Arabidopsis thaliana: one gene and its partner. The protein of the gene in region 2 interacts with the protein of the main gene of each other region in a pairwise test. Each region holds a gene or a part of one and is shown on either strand. Other genes may lie near its edges.

Evidence for each region. The genes of interacting proteins can lie anywhere in the genome.
Region 1: the proteins of AT2G40260 (region 2) and TGA10 interact in a two-hybrid assay, tested with the Arabidopsis thaliana proteins (one large-scale study listed by BioGRID).

The regions. Positions count from the first base shown.
Region 1 is NC_003076.8:2,118,936-2,126,519, forward strand, and holds TGA10 (bZIP transcription factor family protein), read left to right. Parts: upstream 1-1,536; 5' UTR 1,537-1,975; coding exon 1,976-2,049; intron 2,050-2,133; coding exon 2,134-2,255; intron 2,256-2,626; coding exon 2,627-2,718; intron 2,719-2,924; coding exon 2,925-3,053; intron 3,054-3,177; coding exon 3,178-3,243; intron 3,244-3,351; coding exon 3,352-3,411; intron 3,412-3,498; coding exon 3,499-3,576; intron 3,577-3,667; coding exon 3,668-3,749; intron 3,750-3,839; coding exon of another isoform or gene 3,840-3,842; coding exon 3,843-4,114; intron 4,115-5,258; coding exon 5,259-5,513; intron 5,514-7,129; coding exon 7,130-7,282; 3' UTR 7,283-7,522; downstream 7,523-7,584. Other genes in the region: AT5G06830 (uncharacterized protein), read right to left, coding at 1-15, 285-419, 564-624. UniProt on the Arabidopsis thaliana protein: Together with TGA9, basic leucine-zipper transcription factor required for anther development, probably via the activation of SPL expression in anthers and via the regulation of genes with functions in early and middle tapetal development.
Region 2 is NC_003071.7:16,816,027-16,820,468, forward strand, and holds AT2G40260 (Homeodomain-like superfamily protein), read right to left. Parts: upstream 2,705-4,442; 5' UTR 2,448-2,704; coding exon 2,129-2,447; exon of another isoform or gene 2,005-2,128; coding exon 1,928-2,004; intron 1,834-1,927; coding exon 1,797-1,833; intron 1,672-1,796; coding exon 1,569-1,671; intron 1,489-1,568; coding exon 792-1,488; 3' UTR 504-791; downstream 1-503.

The DNA of each region.
Region 1 (7,584 bases), on a different chromosome or scaffold from region 2:
CCAAGTAACCGATCACTGGAAGCAAAACAACATTAAACTTGAATGAGAATACAACCAAGTAAGGCCCTCCTCCTAATCAATCATCAGACATAACCAAACAACAAACAAGCTTACGGTGTTCACAAAGATGCCAATAAAATCTCTTTGGCATTTTCAAACAAAATACTAACACTTTAAGTTATAAATGAGAGCAGTGAACCAAAACGCAATTTAAGACGAATTCGTTTTGAAGGTTTGAAAATTCGCCAAACTGATAAAAGAACAAAATTTGAAGAATTTAAAACCTTCAGGATCTAGGGTTTGAAAGAATGGATCGATCTCTTTAGGCAAAGAAGAGAACTCTTTTAAGATTTTGACTCTGATCACAGCAACCCTCTTCCTCCAATCCGCCGGAATTCTCTTCCGATCCACCAACCATTCTTCAAATTCAACAAAATTGAAATCAAATGAAGACAATAATCACCAACGCAGATTCGAATCCAACGAAGAAAACGAAAAAAAAAAACCAAAGAGATATAAAAATTTAAAATTCCGTGTACTCGTAATTGATAGTTCTGCATTACCTCCGAGACGAGAGAAGGTGATATCGATTGGAAGATTTTGAACATCATCTTGTGACGGCATTTTCTTCCGGTTAACCTTTCACGCTTTCTGGGAAATTTTATCTCCGAAGTCTCACACAGTTTAACGTTTTGGAGTCTCAAGAGTTTGCTACAGAAGAACGCATAATTTCATTGGTCTCATCAAATATCTCGAATCCGGTTATTGAACTAACCGAACCAATTTACTCCGGTCCGCGGCAGATTAAATTGTTTATTGGTTTTATATGGGTTGGTTGGATGGTCCATTACCGCGGTTAACATAAACTGGTCTATCTAGTAACGTCGGTTTTACCTTTACGGATTAGTCTACAGATTTTAAACTTTTTTTTCTTTACAAGTTAAAACTATTTTGAGGAAATTATTTGTATGAATATTTTGTGAATGATGGGAAAGAAATCAAAATTAGTTTACCAGCTCAATTTGATCAAACCAATTAGCTTAACAAAAACAAAACCTAGACCATATTAGTGCCCATTCAAACAAAGTACAATGGAACAGTTAGAGATACAAACAAAATTCAATCAATATATTTGACAATCTAAGTTCATAAATCACATAATAATGACTTTTAACTTGTTTCATATAATGTCTAGTGTTTATAGATTGAATGTAAGAGCGGTTAATGGATCATTAAAAATCGAATAAAAAATCTTATAATAATAATATAGATGATGGAATTGAAAAGTATATCTTAAAGTAAAAATCTAATAGCTGAATAATATATATAGGAGAAATATAATAATAATAATTTAGAGAACAAACAAAAAATATTTATACAAGTTTGTTATCAGCAATGTGACTAGAGAGAAGGAAGAAGAAGAGAGAGGGGATGGAAAAGGACATGTTCTTGACCGCTTTATCAGAATATTTTTCTTGGTTTCATACAAAAATAAAAACAAAGTCGTCTTCTAATATTTTAAGGTAGAAGAAACTTATACAACAAAAATATCAGAAAATAAAAAGGAGTTTGTCTTTAGGTTCTTCTCTCCAATCTCTATTTTTCTCTCCAATATCCTTCTTAAGTTTTTGAACCCTCTCCACTTCAATATAACCGACCTCTCTTCTCTCTTCTGAAAAAAACACCAAAGGAGCTTTAAATGCTCCGTTACATAATCTCTATCTCTTTCCAAGAATATAGAGAAAGGAAAATAATATACAAGAATTAAAAGAAGGTATATCATCATCTCTCTAGCTAGTGATCAAAGCACCGTCATCATCATCATATATCATCAGCTTGCCTCAGAGGAGAAGACCAACATAAGAGAGATCGAAGATCAAAATCTATCTCTCTTCATCATCTTCTGCTGTTACTATCATATCACACGCTCTCTCAAACATCATCCTATATATAGACTTCTCTTCATCATCATCAAATGCAAGGTCATCACCAGAATCATCATCAACACTTATCATCATCCTCCGCCACGTCTTCCCATGGAAACTTCATGTAATTTTTACTCACTTAATAACTTTTTGAATTGATTGATGATCCCCATGTTTTTAATAAGAGAGCTTTAATTTATGTGTGCAGGAACAAAGATGGGTATGATATTGGAGAGATAGACCCATCACTCTTCCTCTATCTTGATGGACAAGGACATCATGATCCTCCATCAACTGCTCCTTCTCCTTTACATCATCATCACACAACTCGTATGCACTCTCTCTCTCTCTCTTTTCTTTCTTTTTTGGGAATTGGGGTTTGTTTTTTTGGTTTCAGCAGATAAGGAAGATTCCCTTTAGGTGTGTGAGAGAGAGAGAGAGTCACAGCAAAAGCATGCCAAACAGATTTCAATCTTTCTTCTGCCATCAGTACTCTATTCTTTCAGCTTTGACCAGATCCTCTCTCTTTTCAGACACCAAATCTTTCAAATCCATATATCTTACACTTCTTTAAACCCTTTTCTCTCTCTGTCCTTTTTCTTCTAATTAGAAGAACTAGTCCGCTCACATATTTATATACATGACTTGTTATAACTAGACCATTTCTCATACATATGGTCACATGACTCATCTTATGGCAGAGAATTTGGCGATGAGACCTCCAACATCGACGCTCAACATCTTTCCATCTCAGCCTATGCACATAGAGCCACCTCCTTCTTCTACACACAATGTAATAATTATTACTATTACTTTATAAATTTCTATATATATATGCCAATTTTAGTTGGTTTCTGTTTCTAATTTAATATAATGTCAGCGCAACTACTAGCCATTTCATATAATATCAAGTCAGACCAATTATTATACGTTTCTTATTTTTCTATTGAGTAGTGATTTGATTGTTTTTTGGTTGTTTTATATAATGTGTTTGGTAAGACCGATAATACAAGATTAGTTCCGGCTGCTCAACCTAGTGGTTCCACTCGACCAGCTTCTGACCCGTCCATGGACTTGACCAATCATTCTCAGTTTCATCAACCTCCTCAAGGTTCTAAATCCATCAAGGTCTCTATCCATTTATGTTTTTTTAATCATTTAATTGCTTTGTCGAACTATAACTCGAGTATAGATATAGACTTGTTGTGGTTGTTTTTAGAAGTTAATGGGTCATATCTAAATGTTATGGCAGAAGGAAGGGAACCGCAAGGGTCTTGCCTCATCGGACCATGACATACCTAAATCGTCAGACCCTAAAGTGAGTGTATATTCATACAACTGCAGAAAATTAATAAGATTCTTTTTTTTTTTTTTTTTTTTACTTTTCGGTTTTTGATAGTTTCTTTATTAATTTAATTCTCAACAGACATTGAGAAGACTAGCACAAAACAGAGAAGCAGCAAGAAAAAGCAGATTACGTAAAAAGGTCAGCATTCAATATTTGTAAGTTGCAAATATAGTTTTTATATCCAAATTTATTTATAACGTTATTTGCTTTGGTAAATTACGACAGGCTTATGTTCAGCAACTCGAGTCATGTAGGATCAAACTGACCCAACTAGAACAAGAGATTCAACGGGCCAGATCCCAAGTAAATATTTGAACCTGTCTTTTCATATATATTGTATTTAACCTAAAGTCTAAAATGTACCAATTTAATTTGATTTCCTATATATGTTTAGGGCGTATTCTTTGGAGGGTCTCTTATAGGAGGAGATCAACAGCAAGGTGGACTACCCATTGGCCCTGGCAACATCAGCTCTGGTACGTTAATAGTTTCATAAATGTGATGACTCAAAAACCGTAAAATTTGAAAACCGAGAGAATGAGATATTGAGTAAATGCAATGTGAAGCAGAAGCAGCGGTGTTCGATATGGAATATGCGAGGTGGCTGGAGGAGCAGCAGAGGCTATTAAACGAACTAAGGGTGGCAACACAAGAACACTTGTCCGAGAACGAGCTTAGGATGTTTGTGGACACATGTTTAGCTCATTATGACCATTTGATTAACCTCAAGGCTATGGTCGCTAAGACCGATGTCTTCCACCTCATTTCTGGAGCATGGAAAACTCCAGCTGAACGTTGCTTCTTGTGGATGGGTGGTTTCCGTCCATCGGAGATCATTAAGGTACATCTCGTCTTTTCTTATAGCCATATACATATATTTAGGTTTTTCGAGAGATATTTACTTATTCTATTCGAGCCACATCCCACACAATAATTAGTCATGATGATATTGTAAACTAATCAAATATGGATTAATAAATCTAAATTTTGGAATTTTACTTGAAGACTAATCATTTTAAATTTTATCTTAGAACCTAAAATATTCCAGGATACAATCATTAATACCATCAATTTTGTGGATTACTTGCAGAACATATACTAATAATGACTGAAATTGTGACATTGTTATTATTTATATCGTACATATATGTCCACAGAATATAGTACTTCCAACTTTATTTTATTATTTAGATTTTTTTTTTTAATTTAGTCTTTGATTCTCGTAAAAGAGGTACGATATAGTAATAATAGATAAGACAGACAAGAGATAGACTATATAGTGATATTGTTGGACGAGGTATATATATACATAACATTGCATGGGGTGACTCTAGATGTATAAAACCAACATATATACGTGAATGTCTTTATATTACGACAATAATAAAGGTACACGTAAAATTATTTTGAAAACAAATTAAGAATGCATGCAATTGTGTGTGATGGTGAAGTATCTCTAGAAATAGGTAGGTTTTGGCATAATGCAAAAGAAAGTGCCTGTCTGTTTTTTCGATTTATGGGATCCATAGGAGAGAGAGATAGACATAAACCACCATGGAATTCAACAGAGACGACCATAATAAACAAACCAAAAATAAATAATTGTTTAACATTTTTAGCACGCTCGTCAATTGGATGATTATCATTTTTTTTCTTTTCTAAAATGGTTACGTAAAGCCATTTTAATTAAACCTACTTTTTATTCTAAACAATATGAGTACCTACGATAGCCGATTAATAATACAAATTAATATATGGATGGTGTGCATATCTGACAAGACCTTTGGCAATGTCTCAATCTTATATCCTTTTTAGTGAAAATAAAAAGGAAAGAAGAGATTTTGGGTGTAGCTAGTAACTCGTGCAGAGTACATACACTACACACTTTAATGCATTCAACGTTCTTTATGCATCCATTAAGACCATTGTTAATTAATCCTCGATATCTCAACTTGTGTGTATTAATTAGAAACGCATGCATGCAGGTGATTGTGAACCAGATAGAACCATTGACGGAGCAACAGATAGTTGGGATATGTGGGCTGCAACAGTCCACACAAGAGGCCGAGGAGGCTCTCTCGCAAGGCCTCGAGGCGTTGAATCAATCACTTTCCGATAGCATTGTCTCTGACTCCCTCCCGCCTGCCTCCGCACCACTTCCTCCTCATCTATCCAATTTCATGTCACACATGTCCTTAGCTCTCAACAAGCTCTCTGCTCTCGAGGGCTTCGTTCTCCAGGTACCCTTATAACTCTTTCTTTTTAAGTTTATGTGCAATTATATATCAATATACCAATCTTTTATCTTTATATAAAAATATACCTATAGAGTTGATATACAAGTGGACCCCTAGAGGATATATGTGGTCCTAATCAGACTAGGAATACATATTCTGTTTCTTTGAACTACTCCTTATTAAACTCAACTATCATATACTTATATATTTCTATATTTGGCTGTTATAACACGCTATCTAAATTTATATAGATGTTTGTATATATGTGTGTGTCTGTTTTGTGTACAACTCATATATAGGTATAACGTCGGCCATAATTTGTTAGAGGACATTTGTAATATATTAAGTGTATATAGAATAAAAGTGGTTGATTTTAAAGAAGATGTCAAAACTAATTCGCAAACTTAATAATTATGCATTAACATGTATATGTATATGAAATGGAAAGTATTTGCCTCTTGATTCGGACATTATGCAAGTAGGTATCTAACAAACACTTCTCTTGTCTTATATCAACTTGGTCGGGTTGCTTTTCTTAGACGACCAAGTTTATTAATTTAATATTTATTTCTTAATCATTTACTAGTTTAGGACAGGCAAGTTTTTGAAACAAAGAAATATATATATCTGCTTGTGTATATTAATGTATAAGTCTATACTCTATATGCAAATGGACATTTCGGCTAATTAATTCTATACAAGATACATGCATATACAAGTTGGCATCTTTCAATGATTTCTTAATATAATTAGTTCTAAATTGTTCCTGTTCCGCCTATAAAAAAAGTTTTTGTGTTTCGCTACACGGTTAGTCGCTCACAATTTGGAGAAAGATCCAACTTTAAAATAGGTGGTAAATGTGGGGTTAGTTACTAAAAAGGGGTAATGAATTCAATTTTCTCTAAACGCACGTGACAATTGGCACCATGAAAGTATGTATTAAGTATACATATTCCAATATATGTAGTCCAAAAGAAAAATACATATATTATGTATCTATAATATATCACATCAAATAAAAACATGGAATGCTTGGAGCCCATATCGTTGCATGATGTCATGGACGTAACTGCCCAAGTATCCCATCCTCCGAAAACACTTCCTTGAGAATAATTCCTTTACTTACATTTGATTCTGCATTTTTTTGTCTACTTTTATATCATTGATAATAGGTTGATTATATATGTATGATTCTAATTAATGATCAAAAGTATCATGAAGCATGGCGTGGGACCGAGGGTATGGAATTCACGGTTTCACCTTTTTGACATGTTGGTGTCGTGTTCTTATTAGTGAATTACTAACAAGCTTTGATTTTTTGATCGATCAACATGTTGAATAATCGGCATTAGTCGTCAATCAACCACATAATTTCGGGTCATGCACAATCATTATAATGCTTAATTAGTCCTTTATCTGTTTTTTTCCTCTCTAGTTAGTCTTTAATACTTATATTTATGAGATTAATGATGGTCCAATTCGATTATTTGTCCTTAATTGGTCTTAGTCAATAACATGTGCACTACTTTGTCCATCTTTTGTTTTGCTTTTACTATTTCTCCATTTTCCCTATAACTCTTATTTAGTTTTGAACTAGCTAATACATTAGAAACTTACAGGCGGATAATTTGAGGCACCAAACGATCCATAGGCTGAACCAATTGTTGACGACCCGTCAAGAAGCACGGTGTCTTCTAGCCGTTGCGGAGTACTTCCACCGTCTTCAAGCTCTAAGTTCTCTCTGGCTAGCCCGTCCTCGGCAAGATGGATAATACTAAAACAACTGATGAAGGAAACCAAAAACAAAAACAAGAGAATAGGTTGATTAGTTAGCCGCCAGCTTGACCTCTTTATCATATATATCGTCTCTCTACTCAAATACAGTGCAATTAGGGAAAATTGTTTGGCTTCTTTTTGTTATATGATTCTTACTATTATGTTTTTAATCAAGATGCAGATTATATATATAGACAAGTATTCCATACCTTTTAATGAATTCTTCCTTATGCAAATTCAAGTGAAAAATTATACTTGATCTTCAATTCCAAACACAAGAACATGAGAGAGTATTGAA
Region 2 (4,442 bases):
CATCTGTCTTCTTGTCGTTCTCTCCAATTTTCTCTTAAAGAAAGTGTCTTCTTTTTTTCTTAATTAACCTCGCAACTAAATTAAAATAAACTTTGGTTGGTTATCAGAACCGATTTGTTTTTTTTTTTTTGTTTTTTTAATACAAACAAAACATTCAGCAGACCTGATTTTTAAATTAACGGACCTTTCATATAATTTCAACTACAAATCTAAAACATAGAATAATTTATAAAACGATTTTGAAGAAGGCAAAAACTCGTCTTTATAAAAATAATAATGCTATAGCTCAGAAAGCTATGACTCGGAAGTCTTCATCTTCTTTTCTTGTATTCACTGATTTGACGTTAACGTATAAATTTTCAGACAATATCTCCATGTTAAAACAAAAATATTGCTTAGGATACTTGTTATGTGAGAGTAAACTACATATACATTGCAACGTCTAGACAAGCTTATAGACAACGTGCAATGTCTTGTAACTCTCAAAACCATATATATAGACTCTCACTAATGTATTTCTTGGTTACTATACTATTTAGAAGAAAACAAATTTCTGCTCCCAACTCGATCACAAATCATATATATTTTAAAATATGCATTTAACGATCTCGACAAAATTATGTGAATTTTTTTTTAATAAAAAACATTAAAAAATGTCTCTATTATTTCCTTAATTATGGGTCTTGTCACAAGTATGCAACGAATGATAAACAACAATACAGAACCGTCTTCCATCAACAAGTACCACAAGATCTCACTTAGAATATACGTATATAAGTTGTTATACATATTCACAGAGTGAGATCAAGGGGACTTGCCAAGACCGAAATCTTTCTCTTTTTGTGATCAGTTTGATCTTCTTTCCTAATGGTTCGGTCGAGTTTTGATGAACCTGAAGATGATAACGAAAGAGACAAACTCTTGATATCTTGATGATCATCATGTTCTTTTACTTCATCTTCTAACAAGCATTCTCCAAGATTGTCGTGTGTCCGAGGTACCTTAAGGGACAAGCTTAGATCCAAATCTTGGTCTGACTTATTGCAGTCATCAGAAAATAATAACCTCTTCCTCTTCAAAACATTCTCTGATCCTTCTGCCACTCCAGCATTCTCCCATTGATAAGAATTTAGCGTTGTAGCAATATGATCTTGTGGTATTGTTGCGGTGGAGGACTTAAGATTGGAAGAGAGGCTCTGTCCCCATGATTTGTTAAACGTTTTCATACCTTCAAGAAAACTTCTATGAATTCTTGGAACAGCTCCAGCTACTCCATTGTTATCATGAACCCCTTCATGAGAATTGATTCGAAATGAAATAGTTTTGTTCTTATCGTTAAGAATACTATTGCTAACTCCGTGATATCTCTCACCAGGCTGTGAGCTAAACATTGTTTGTCTTGTTCTTGTATTTTCTCGTGTCGTTAATCCTCTCCAAGGGCTACGGTAGATCTGTCGTCTGTGGTCAGTCCACGAACCACCACCATATCTATTGAATACATTCCAAGTTACACACACGTAATTTTAACTTATAGTTTAAAGATAGCTAGCTGAAGAGTTTGTAAATACCCTAAACTAGAAGAAGGCCTTTGATCAAAACTTTGTAGCATTGGAAGTTGGCTAAGGTTGTAAGTGTAACCAGCTCCGTGTTCAAACGAAAATCCTTGATCTCCTGTAGTTATAAGAAAAGATAAAACACGAGAGACAAGAATTAGTCAATTTCTCGTCGAATTCAATTATAAGATTTATAGAAGCCCTAACTTAAATCAGAAGGTAGAAGAAAGCTAAGTAAACTACCTTCATTAGGCTCATCGGTCTTCTTGCTTCTGTACATCTAAGAAGAAAAAAAAATGAAGTATGATTTCAGATGAAGATCTCAATGATGTATATAGATATATACTCTATGTGTATGTGGATATTTGCAAAACCTGAAGATGACTCTTAACATGGGCAATACTTAGCCCCTTGACGTTCATCAATTGGAGAACAAGCTTCGGTGTTGCTCCTGTTTCAACAAAATCATTGAAAGAGACCCCAAATAAATATCAACAAGAAAACCCTAGAAATTTAGAGATCTTCACATATGCAATGATCTTGATATTGATTCATATATATAATTGAAACTCAACTATCTGGGCCACCCAATCTCTCCACAGCTTGAAGAAAGCAAATATGGAGCTCCGGCGTCCATCGCAGCCTCGGAGTCTTTGAGCGGTTGTACGGCCTCACGGATCCTCCATTCTTCTTGTTCTGATCATGGTGGTGACTCCCACTCTCTTCCTCATAGCTATTGCTAGATGGGCTCTGATCTCCAGATCTCTCTTCTTCATCCTCTTCGCCTTCTTCATCATCCTCTTCATCTTTATCTTCTTCATTCTTGGTGGTTGCTTTGATGTTGTTAGATAGACAAGTCTTGGAGTTTTCAGAATTTTGGCTGCTTGATCTCATCTTGGTCTCTAGCTATTTGGCTGTTTTTGTGTTGTTTGTTTTGAGGTTGAACCTTTTTGGTCTATCTTGGAGTTCTCTGGACAAAGATCAAACAAAGATCACACACTCATACATATGTGTTAGGAATTTAAGGTGAAGACTTTTGATGGTCTATGTGTATGACTTTTTGGATGCTTGTATCCATCATTCCTTTTTCTCCCCCTCTCTCTCCAACTCAACATATATGTTGAAATATGTATATGATGGCAACGGATATTCTAAATTCTATTTAATATATAGCTTTTTATTACACCAATGGTTTTTTCTACAGTTATATACATCTTAGGGAAAGATAGATCTAGAATTACACCTCATGACAAAAATGGTACTTTTAATTTCATTAAACATTAGTAACTTCAGTCATAAGATGTATTTTAAAATGAGTTAATAACTATTAAGTCAATTAGTACAATTAATCTTTGAATCTCGTTGTGATAGGGAGTGAAAAGAAATTCCAAGGAGTAGATTGAATTTATCTAAATAATGATCATTTTCATGGTAAAAGATCAAACGTTTTCATGATATCAACCCGTACGTATACCAATTTTATGACATAAATCAGGGTTCAATATGACATGTACATTAACAATTTTTTTTGTTCTTTCTTTCAAAACCAACTGAAGATCTATGTTTTTCATTGGATTTGGTACGTGTTTTTGTTTCATTCGAACTAGCTTTTAGCAATATAGGAAGAAGGCAACATTAATGAGGCATACACATTAATTAGATAAATGAAACTTCTTCCATCGTTACAACTCATGAATTAAATTGACTAGAAAAGCAAAGCATAAAAGGGGATGGTTAGGGGGATGGGCTCGTGACTTCAAAGCCAAAGCTGTGAAACCAGAAAAAGAAGAAACCCAAAAGCATAATTAGATAGATAGACAGAGAAAGAGCATAGAGAGAGGAATCAGACAGAAGTTAAAAGGTGCTTGGCTGGGCTGTCTTCACTGAAAGACACGAGAAGAAAATATTACTACTTGTTTCTGTCACCAACGACAATCACGGGTTTGTCTCCATCTCCACTACTCTTACGATTTCATATTATCTATAATTATCTACACATGCGCCTCTCTCTATATACATGCAAATAGTACATCTCTTTTTCTATATATAACCCAAATAAATGTTAAAAAATAAATAAATAAATTAGGATACAGAATATAACAACTGAAGCTAATAAGTCACATGATTATCACAGAATTGAACTTGAGAATTATATGAGTTTCTGTACGTACACACATGCAACCAATTGATTTAGTTTGGAATTCAGTTCAGGGGTGATTAGTTCGTTCTATATAGCGTACGTACTATTAAAATTACTAGTAAAATACTAAACAAAAGATATGTTCTAATTAAGTATGTCATACTTTTATTTTTGTGAAATTAAGGAAGTAGGCAAAGTAGGGGATGTCATACTTTTTTAAGAACTTAGAAAGGAGAAAATTAAAATGTATAATATATGATTTACTTATTGTCATGAACTTTGCGCCTCCAGGAGAGGGTCAAGGCAGAATTGTATCTATCTGTATTCCTCTAACATCAGCAGGCTAATTTTTCTTGTAAGCGACATGCAAGTACTGTGTCAAATTTTGTGAATGGTGACCAGATAATGTGAAAGTCATCGGTCAAATAAATTAGGTATATGACATTTCTTTCTGTTTTTTTTTTTTTTTTCAAAATCGTTTTTGGAAGCCCAATGTCCAGCCGTAATCGTATATTTTCGTCGTCGTTATTAATTGGTAGGAAGAATTAAAGCTGTCGTATATTTTGGTTTTAAAAGTGTAGCAATAATAATTTACGTTAGAATGACGTTCTTCATATCTACCCTATAATCCTACTTCCATGCTCAGACAACCCATGATCAATTATACGACCCAACAGATACCAAATGCTAAGTATTAATATCAATCACGGTATTGACAAAAAAAGGGTATATTAACTACGGTATTGATT